Oryzias latipes: one gene and its partner. The protein of the gene in region 2 purifies or fractionates together with the protein of the main gene of each other region. This does not show direct contact. Links are inferred from orthologs where the notes say so. Each region holds a gene or a part of one and is shown on either strand. Other genes may lie near its edges.

Region 1 (5,307 bases), about 3.6 Mb from region 2:
CACCATTTTTAGTCACCATAATTTCCTGTACAGATTGGAACTCAGTCACTTCTTATGTATTTTGGGAGATGAGGGAAGAACTAGATTTGAGTCCACTCTGGCGTACCCCTTCTAAAGTAGAAAGACAGGTGACTGATGCTTTCACTTGGTGTATCCAGGCTGCAATCGGCATGGATACCGTCTTACAACCATCTCTGGTAAAAGCTCAAGACTCAATTTTACCCCAGAAGTGAAGTCAGAAGATGTTTTTTTTTTTTTTGCCTTTAGAAACAGTTAGGCTTGGATGCTGTGAATGCGGAGCTCCACGTCCCTCTTCTAGAAGACGTTCTGTTCGTTAAACGATTCTTCTGAGCCACCTCAGAGTCCTAATGAGAAATCAAAATGACAGAAATAGAAATGTCATTTAAAAACACAAGCTCAGAAAGTATTGTTACGAGAAAAGCTTCACTTTAAGTTACAAGATGTCGCAACAACCACTATATGCTCTGCATAACTAATTATTCCATTTTTTAAGGGAAGTAAAGCATCACTAATCTCAGGCAGATTAAGTATTTTGTGTGGGAAGCATTGTGTGGGTTCCTTAATTAATATTGTCAGTCACAATCGTAAACCTGCTGCATTACTGCGAAACGATGACCAATAAGGAAGGGGAAATATAATGGGTGACTGGCACTTGAGGCTGACGCTCGACACAGATAAGGCTGTCCCTTTCAGTTAACGTTTCAATTGGAAAAGGATTTATCGGGGCTGTCCACACGTTACCCTAATTATATGGCGGGACATAAAACAGGCAAACTGAACCGACAGGTGACTTATGAAAACGAGCTGCAATGTTTTCATGCCAGAGGAGAGGTCCAGGAAATTGGACGTCGTTTCCTGGTAAATAAATCGGGTGGCTGTTCCAGTTTTTTTGCCCTGGCATTGGATATCCAGTTAGCTAGCAAGCTACATCAACATGCCTTTTCACTGCGCATCAGTTAGGTCAGCATCGTTAATTAACACGGGTGATGTAAAACAACACATCCACTGTAGAACGTGTTCTAAAAGACTTTCGACATCCTAAATAAAACTGGCACTGACCCCCAAATGAGTACAAGCTAAGCAGTGAACGCCCATTTAAGCGCAGATGGCTAGTTAGCAATTGACTCTGGGCGGGCTAGCAGGGCGTTCCATTGCTACACTCACTCAGCTATTTCACGCTATATAAGAGAAATTACCCAAACAGATAAAATAACAAGCCATTTCTCTTATCAACAAACATGTTATTACGATACTGTAGGTGTTACGAGTCATAACCAACCCAGAAACACAATCAAATCGTTATCTTACCTTTTCATAAGTGCTAACCATCGCTAGTTACGCCTCCTCAGCTGTTGAAAATTCATTTTTAGCGGAGTACGCATGCGCAAAATCTTGACAGTTCATGACCACTAGGGGCCCACGTGTAAAGGGAGGGGATTCAGAGCCCACACTGACAGTCATTAGTATTAGACAAAACCAACAAACAGATGCACATAATAAACCCTATAGGTAGACCGTCAGTCATTAATCATTAGACACTGCAAACGCTAGTTTTTTTAGACGCTAATTAATTTCACCACCTAAAGTCACCCACAATAAGGAAGTGTTGATTTGGATCACAATAGTACAAAGGCCAATAGTTTGGTTTATATTTATGTTTTTAATTATGCAGATAAAATATTTACTGGTTTAATCAGAGGCCAAACGTAACAATACCAGGCTGCATTCTTCGATCACCTCACCTGCACCTAAAAAAGATGATGGATACGGACATTATTCTAAATTCCCCAATTACTGACAATGACGTTAGAAAACGAGGACGATTACATTCTCTTTTGAATTGAAAGTTATATTTTCCAGTCGCCGAATGACTGCCTTAAACTTAGTAGAACTTGGAGGTGGTTGGATTTTACAGTTATGGTGGAGAATTTCCGCCATAGACCTCAAGTTTGAGTCAACTGCTGCACTGCCAGACAGAATAAATAGAACTGCACGTAGAGCAGCCTCTGCTCATACATGCAGCGGTGGCTCCGCCCCACGCCGTAAAAAAACAACCAAAACCCAGTGACGTTGCTATGGGAAGGGTTGCTTGGAACTAATGCAGTGAAGAAAAGAAATAGAAATGGCGGTGCGCGGAGGATTTAGCGCTGCACAACAGAGAGAAACCACTGCTGACGGCAGCAACGACGTGTCAGATTTTATGTGTCCAGTTTGCCTCGAAATCTTTGAGAGACCTGTCAGAACACAATGTGGACATACGTAAGTATTTCGCCTTATTTTGACCACCCTCCCCTTACTGAGGCTCAGCACCATCGATGAAACGATACCAGTTAAAAACAATGAAGGGAAATGCTTGATCTTTTAACGCATTCTGGCATTAACAGAATGCCAACGTTAATATTCTTAGATTCGCTATGAGCTAAAATTCTGTAATGTTGTCTTTTTCTGCGTGTATATATTTGGCAAAACCTATTCTAGCCTGTTAAATCAGTTTCAGTTTTGTTTACATCAAAGAATAGGCTTTATTAGGGAAATGTAGTTCATAAATCTTTTGCAGTTACTCGAAAGACTAATGTGACGGACTACAAGTCCCTGCGCCCCCTTGAGGTGGGGATTTCCATCGAATTTACCGGAAGCTAAAGTAAAAAATAATTGTCTTTGAGAGCTGTGTGGGTATTAAATAATTCCAACTAATCAATTATATTTATGTGAGGATTTTGTTTAAATATTTGTCTTTTTATTGTTGTTATTTCTTTCTACCTCTTGGCAGATTCTGTCACAATTGTTTGCAAGAGTGTTTGCGTCCTCAAAAGCCCGTATGTGCGGTATGTAGGACTACAGTTGGGCCGTGGACCAAAGCAGTGGATCTAGAAGCCCTCATCCAGTCATCAATCTCAGCTTGTAAGGGATGTGGAGTTCAGGTATACTATGAGGCAACCGTTTGTTGTACGTAATTAACCACACAGTTTCAACTTACATTTATTAATGAATTCTTCTTTTGCACAAGATTGTTCTGTCTCAGATGAGGAGCCACACAGCTGCCTGTTTAAAATACCAGGACTATATTGAGGAAGGGGTGAGGACAAGTGTCCAAAGCCAGCCTGCTGCTGTGAGGTAAGGCACAACAAAATCAAAAACATCAGGTTGTAGTCATAAATAAGTAACAAAGGTTTTCATGTTATTTTGTTTTTACAAAGTATGTGCAGTTACAACAATGAAAGAGAAAAAATAGAAATTTTAGTTGACAAAAACCCTACAAGGATAGAATCATATAGAATCAGGTACATTGGATGCTCAAACCACTATTGGTGCACATTTTAATCATTGAATGTGGTTTTTATTTGTATGCTTTTGCACAGGTTTCACAGCCACAGTGGAATTAGTTGTCTATGAAAGGTCATTACTTATATTTACATACCTACCAATTATTTTCATTTGTACGTAGATTAACCCCTCTCCTCAAGTGTCTGTAAGTCCATAACCATCACAAGACGTTGAATGATGATTCATTGTTCACTACCATGTGTCCAGGACACAGATGCCTTCTGGGTAAATGGTTTTGTCTCCATTGTATAGAAAAGGGGGGTCAATATTTGACTGCTTTTGTTCATTTATCTAGGTGTAGAAGTGGGAGTTGAGAATAGAGCCATTGTAGGTACCATTACTATTCGCCCTGCAATAACCGTTCGGGGTCCCTTCGACTGAGGATGACGTCACACTACGGTAGCACCACGTGGACAAACTACATAGCATCCAGATCTGCTCGGGCTCTACATATTTTCATTTCACATTTCCTTTTGTTACATAAAGTTATTTTCCCTCGTAAGTTGTGTCTGACATTATCCTTTGTAATGTTTATGGAGAGATTTTGCCACAACCCACTTTGTAAAAAGATCTGTGGTTTTTAGAATGAACCTGCTGCTCCACACAAGCGAACCATGTCTCTGAGCAGAGCAGCTGGAGTCTTGTAGCTTCGTGTTTGCAGGCAGGGAAGGTGCTTTGTTAAAGTGTGCGGTCCGGAGAAGGGTTCGGAACACAGTCCGTTCGGCTGCAATGCACTTCTATGGTTGTATCGTAATTTGTCCAGACCAATCACTATCTGAAACGTCATCGGACCAATGGACAGCCAATCACATAATGTGACGTCGGCACTAGTTGAAGGACCCAGAAAGGTTATTGCAGGCCGAATGGCTGTGGTACCTACACCGTCAAAAATATTCCTGCTCTGTTGGAATGAAAATCATGTCTCCCATCCTCACAACCTGTATTTTATTCTTTAAAGTCCTAAGACCAGTCTCTAATTAGTAATCTTCTGAAAAAGCTTTTTTGGCAAAATGGTGATGAAAGCCCATCTTTAGACTTCCCTTGTCTTAGGCGTGACAGAGCAGGGTATCAGGATCATGCTATTGTCAGAGGACCTAAATGACTGTGATATAACCTGAAGAAAGTCTTGAGTCATGGGTGAACCAGTAGGGGATTTTGAATATTCTCCCAAAGCAGTTGACTATGCACCAACGTCCGATTTGGCAGAAGATGTGGAATTTTACAAGCAGAGGTCAAAACATAATGTAACAGTATAAATGGAAGCACCTGCAAAGGGCCTGCTTATAAGGTGTCTACTGCACTTTGACAGACCCAACTATTATATATCCAACATTAAAAAAAAGCTTCTTCGGAGTAAACATTCTCAAGGCCAGTAATTGTGTCTAGCAGCTTGTTTAAAGGTCAAGTTGTCCTTGATTGTTGGTTTATTGAACAACAAACAGAGGAGGATTTTGGTTTTGTTTCACACTGTTTGAGGTCTGATCATCTACCTGCGCTGGCAGAAGTGACGACCGAAAAGTGTACTATAGTTGGTACGAAGTGATGACCTTAAAGTTCCTCTCCAATAATCTTTTGATCCATTGTGAAAGCATTTCCAGTGCTCTTTTAATTACAATCATGCTATTTTTAGACTAAATCAAAAATCCTTGGTCATATTTTCTGTAGAGTGACAGGAGTTCATTGGAAGTTGTAGGTAGAACATAGTAAGCCTGCCTCCATATCCCATCTATTTACACCCCCTCCCACTAGCTTACAACTCCTCACACTCAACATAACAATAGCGGTGCAACAAAAATGACAAGCAATATCTGAGCTATCCAGCTGTACACTTTTAAGCCAGATGTCAGCTCAGACGAAAAAAGCAAAAATGTGCATGGATCTATTTATCTGCAAGTGGATGCATCGGAATGAAGCAGAGCAGGAAGCTTGTGGCCTTCCGACTGTGGGACCTACAGAACTGCT
Region 2 (5,312 bases):
TAGCTTAGCGGCTAACAATTACTACGCTAATTTTAAAACGGAAACAAAGGGGGTTACTTTAAAGAAATAAAGGCTGCCATTCATGCAAAATAAAAAAATAAAACAAGTGTGGGGATTTGAACTACACACGCTGTCTTTTAGGTTAACCTTTCACTAAAGTAGCTGAACTGAGGCTAACTCGTGTGCTAGCTTACTTCGCTCATGTTAGCTAGTTGGTATATCCCACTTCAAGACTTGACGCGTATTAACTACCGATTTAACAAGCCAAACACACTGAAATCAAAACTTACATTTTCACCGTTTAGGTAATTGGTCTCACTCGTCGTAACCCAAAATAAATTACTGTGTTAACTATTAATAAAGCCCGGCAAAAATGGTAACTGAGACTTAACTCAGGGTTAACCACATAAGCGCTGGTATTTCTCCAAACATCGCGTGTTTTCCACACTTCCTTGTGACGTTACACGTCGCCCTCCTGGCTGGTACGTGGGTACAGTGGATGATTCTAGAATGCGAACGTTCCCAGTGCTTTTAACTGAACAGCGCCCCCATTAGTGCCATTCTATAACTACAGCCAAATGTATAATCGATAATTATTCAAAGACAAGCAATCTGAACAGCTGAAATGTGATTTTAATCGAAAACAAATAAATAAATAAATAAAATTAGATTGCTTTAGATTTATGGAAGTATGAAGTTTTGATATCGTGATGTTTTTGTAATTTACCATGTTGATTTATGTTTTTGAATGCTATTTTTTCATTAGTAATTTGTTGTGTGAAATTTGACTTTGTTTTAATTTGACATGTATGTAAAGTGATCAAGAATACTACAGGAATAAATAGAGAACCATATTTGTAAAATGATGTGTGAAATGTGAAAATGTTTTATAGTTGCAGTTTTTATTTTGAGATTTTCCCATTGTAACCGGGTGTGCTGCTTTAGTTGCTCAGGAATTCTGGATATGTACTAGAAAAGCGCTTTAGGAATTTAGTGACAATTTAGAACAAAGTTTTTATTTATTGAGAAGCAAAGAAGAATCACAGTTCCTGGGATATTTTGTGGAGAAATAATGACAGGACATGTCAGATTAAAAAAAAAAAAGGACCACCGATGCTCACCATATATTCTTATTTTGCATTAAGATTGGAGATCTCTCCAAGTTAATAAAAACATATTTGCTCCATGCATATAAAGATTAAAAGCTCTGATGTCTGTATTTTTTGCATCACTACATCTTTGAGTTCTGTTCAAGGAAATTTACTTTATCCATGTTAAAATCAGCAGTTTACATTATTTGAATATTCATTAGACAAAAACAAAGGTTGAAGAATAATTGTTTATTTGACACATGAACTTTACCTTCAGTAAACCACAAACGTAATTTTATTTCTTAAACAACTTAGGGGACACATACTAGGCCACATCCCACATTTAATTAAAACATTAAAAGATTTTTTCCCAAATCGTCTTTTTCTTAAATTTTTTCCCGAATTATATTTTCTGTGACTTTGAACAAAAACGGCATGAAACATATTTACACATACAGCCATGTTTGTTTGCATGGCAGTGGGTGAGGTACGGTGTCTCAGAGAAGCCAAAACAGTCCAGGCCCAGCCTGCTCACCTTGCAGATGTTTGGTAAGAACTGCAGAGATATCCTCTGTCATCTATCAGCAAATTCATCAGCAGTTTTTCTGTCCTCCAACTATAAGATTACAGGACCCAATTGAAGGTCAAATAACTCAAATATTTAAGCTTTACTTATGTTGACACTGAAATCTGAAGATGAGCACTTACAGTAATAGCTTATAACAAAATAAAAATCCTTCCTCAAATTACAAAATACAGGAGATACAGCGTTCAGCTGACACAACATTTATAATGTTATAATAAAGGGCACACTTGATATGAATTAAAATGAATGATTATTTAAAGGGGAATAATGGGCATGTCTAAGTTTTAGGCTTTTTTAGACTGAACTTTATTGTCTTTTCATTTTTTAAATTGAACTTTATTACCTATAATTAGAAACTAAAACCTTTATGAGCTCATAAAAGACCAATGATGTCATCAAATGAGAATTGTTCCCACATAATCATGAATAACAAACGAGTGGGTTTTCCCTGGATGGGGAGTAGGATCCCGCGTGCCACTTTGGTGTTCCAAACTGTCAAAAGCGTGACTCACACCTGCACGCCAACCAACTCAGTGACGAACTTCCTGCTCACCTTTTCTCCCAACAAACTGCAATGCACTGATGACAAAACGCCAACCGTATTTATCTGACAGTTTGAAGTCGCTTTTTTTTTTGCTAGAGTGGTCGAGCCCGATAAGAAACTACAAATGCGTGTTTACTGTGGATGACGCCTACAGCCCGAGGACGCACGAGGAAGGCGAAGGGGCGAAGTAAGGAGGCGGCGGCGGCGGCGGGTGGCGTTTTTCCACAGCGCTGATGAAAGACACACACCGGCCGTCCACCGGGAACACGCTCGGGTGTCATGCCTTGACCACGACAGATTAATGTTCCACCATTAAACTGCAGAAGGCAGCAGCACGTCAGAGACGAAGGCCTCCGCGGATGGAGCGCGGTGCTCTTTAATCCGTCCTCAAACCTCCCTGACAGGCGAGCAACAACACGGGTGAGGTGTCGGAGGTAATCATTAAAAGGAGCTGCCCTACTTTTATTGTCCATTCAAAGCTAATGTTTCGAAATCGTCAAATTCCCCTCCTGTCGTTGCGGAGGCTGCGTGTGTAAACATAACATCAGCTGTGTTCTCCTTTTTCTTCTTCTTTACTTTTTTCCCTTTCCTCTTCTTCAACAGGACGCTTGAATTAGAGGAAGAATTTATGGGATCACAAGGTAACGTTTGCGCTCGAAAACACGTCTTCAGTGTGTTTGTTTGCTGCTGTCACTGCTTGGATGTCTGTGAGGTTATTTTCTTTTGTTTACATCCAGGAAATGTCTCCACAGCTAGCAGCCGTTTGCTGTGCGTTTCTTAGCTGGCCACAGAAATGTCCTTTATTTAGTCAGCTGTTGGGTTTCTAATCACACCTGGGGGGTTAAGAAGAAGAAGAAGAGGAAAAGGGGCTAAAACGAGGAAAGCTAGTGGTGTTAGCATTTCCTCTGTGACAGGAGGAACTCAGTTCTTCTGTTAAAAGGAGCTAGCATCACCTTCATAATGCATATCAAGGACTACAAAGGGCTGAGCATTATGGGATGGATTTACTGTCATGCCTTAACACTGTTCCAACTTTGTTGTTTTCTTCAGTTTCCTCTGATGAGATGAGTGTGCGTGCTGGCCAGGGCAGTGATGAGGTGCTCGTTTCTCAGGCGGTGTGGGATTACCTGGCTGCAGCTGGGCGGCCCTGGCTCATTGACTTCCAGCACAGGCAGGGGATGAGCGCCGGGATCATTAGGCGGGGGGAGAGGGGTGGCTGTTGTGCTGTCCGGCTCCAGCCAGTTGAAGGCTTCAGGAATGCCGGAGTGATGGGCGGACCGGTCTCCAGCGACACCCGAAAAGCTTTTATTGACTTATGCCGCTGTGCCCGTAAAGAGATGTGCAAACAGGATGGGGGATCCAAGAGGAAGAGGGGCATGCTGCCATGTGGGGTGGAACAGAACGGAGAGGGGAACCTGCTGCAGCCCCCTCCCCTGCAACCCAGACGCTCCCAGAGACAGCAGCAGAGGTTCAGGAAGCCTGCTGATGAGGAGGCGTTTGCCATGCTCCATGAGGCAGCCCAAAGGAAGGACCTGGGCTCCAGCTTAGCTTCCCAGAGTGAGGCTGAGGATGGGAACACTTGTTCAATCTGCATGGGGGACATAGTGGAAAAGACCACTCTGGAGAAATGTGGCCATTCTTTCTGTCGCTTTTGTCTGGACCAAGCCTTCAAGGTGAAGAAAGCGTGCCCTGTCTGTCGACTTGTGTACGGCCAACTGGTCGGGAACCAGCCTGCCAATGGTTCAATGATTGTAGAGCGGGATCCTGACCTGGAGCTTCCTGGCCATGAAGGCTACGGGTGTATCTGCATCATTTACAGCTTCCCTCCTGGCCTGCAGTCAGTGAGTAGAATGAGAGCACAGTTCAGACTTCCAGTGAAATGCTTTTTAATATTCCCCCTCAAGTAGAAAGAATTATGTTTTGTTTTAAATCTGAATGAGTATTTTTCACAGAGGCTTTGTAAGGATTTTCAAAGAAATCAAGTTCTAATCTTGAACATTCAATCCACAGTGTTGCCATTAACTGCTCCTGGAATGCATGTCTACCTCATACCACCTTAAAAAAAGTTAATTGATAATATCTGGAATTATCTTACATTTTAGCAACTCTTCCTGTGCACTTTCTTCATATTGACTGTGTTAAGAAAACCTGAGTGACATTAAGTACCATAAGAATTTTCTATAAGAGCTATGTGCTGTTAGTTTTTTGGAAGTTTACATAAATCAGTAAGAGGCGGAGTTACCCCAAACCTCTTTTGCCGTCTATTTAAAAAAAAACAAAAAAAACAAAAAACGAGTGCTGATTCAGTTGAAGTTAAAATTGAATAGAATGAAACTTTACTGATCCCACAAGGGGGAAATTACCGAAGTTTGATCCCTTCGTGATTTTGCAAACAATTGGTAGTTCCCTTTTTTGTGGTGTTGGGAAGTAATTTTAGAAAAAGTATGAGGGGTTTCCCCCCCCAAAAAATGCCCAGACAACACTTTGACCTTCTTTAAAATTTCTTAACAGATAGAGCATCCCAATCCGGGTGTTCGATACCCCGGAACAGACCGGGTCGCTTACCTCCCTGACAGCCCTGAGGGGAACCGTGTGCTGGGCCTGCTGCGGCGGGCCTTCGAACAGCGCCTTATCTTTACCATCGGTACCTCTCTGACTACAGGCATGCAGAATGTTATTACTTGGAATGACATCCATCACAAGACCTCAATATGGGGCGGACCACGCTGGTAAGTAAAACTTTATCCTTGGAGGTACACTGCTAGTATTCATCCCATTCATATGTGTGTGTGTGTATGCAGGTTCAGGGTTGTCCTACTTTTTCTTTTAGAGGGGAGGTAGGTGGAAGTAAGGTACGTGAAAGAGGAATTGAAAAAAAGAATCCCTAAGAATGAGTGGGAAAGTAAAAAATGAATTGTTGAATGATGTTTTCAGTTTTGTTCAGGTAGTTCAATCAATCAATCAATCAAGGCTCTTGCGGGGGGGGGGGGGGGGGGGGGGGATGCCCCTTCCCAGTGCGTAGAGCCGACCAAAAAAACAAGGGTCTTCCAAGCTTTCCGGTCTTGTGCCAGAAGCTCAGTATCCTTCATAG

What was found. Proteins that work in one complex are often made in the same cells at the same time.
Region 1: the proteins of probable E3 ubiquitin-protein ligase DTX3 (region 2) and rnf114 purify together in Homo sapiens (affinity purification with mass spectrometry; 3 studies listed by BioGRID and IntAct, counting the BioPlex papers as one, with this or other methods). This does not show direct contact. The link is inferred for Oryzias latipes from reciprocal best matches to the Homo sapiens genes DTX3 and RNF114.

Annotation. Positions count from the first base shown.
Region 1 is NC_019865.2:15,131,686-15,136,992, reverse strand, and holds the start of rnf114 (E3 ubiquitin-protein ligase RNF114), read left to right. Parts: upstream 1-2,058; 5' UTR 2,059-2,143; coding exon 2,144-2,280; intron 2,281-2,791; coding exon 2,792-2,942; intron 2,943-3,028; coding exon 3,029-3,135; intron 3,136-5,307. UniProt on the Homo sapiens protein: E3 ubiquitin-protein ligase that promotes the ubiquitination of various substrates. In turn, participates in the regulation of many biological processes including cell cycle, apoptosis, osteoclastogenesis as well as innate or adaptive immunity.
Region 2 is NC_019865.2:11,543,546-11,548,857, forward strand, and holds the start of probable E3 ubiquitin-protein ligase DTX3, read left to right. Parts: upstream 1-2,057; 5' UTR 2,058-2,641; exon of another isoform or gene 2,642-2,655; intron 2,656-2,824; 5' UTR 2,825-2,849; coding exon 2,850-2,862; intron 2,863-3,271; coding exon 3,272-4,062; intron 4,063-4,732; coding exon 4,733-4,950; intron 4,951-5,312. Other genes in the region: prostaglandin E synthase 3, read right to left, coding at 291-292. UniProt on the Homo sapiens protein: Regulator of Notch signaling, a signaling pathway involved in cell-cell communications that regulates a broad spectrum of cell-fate determinations.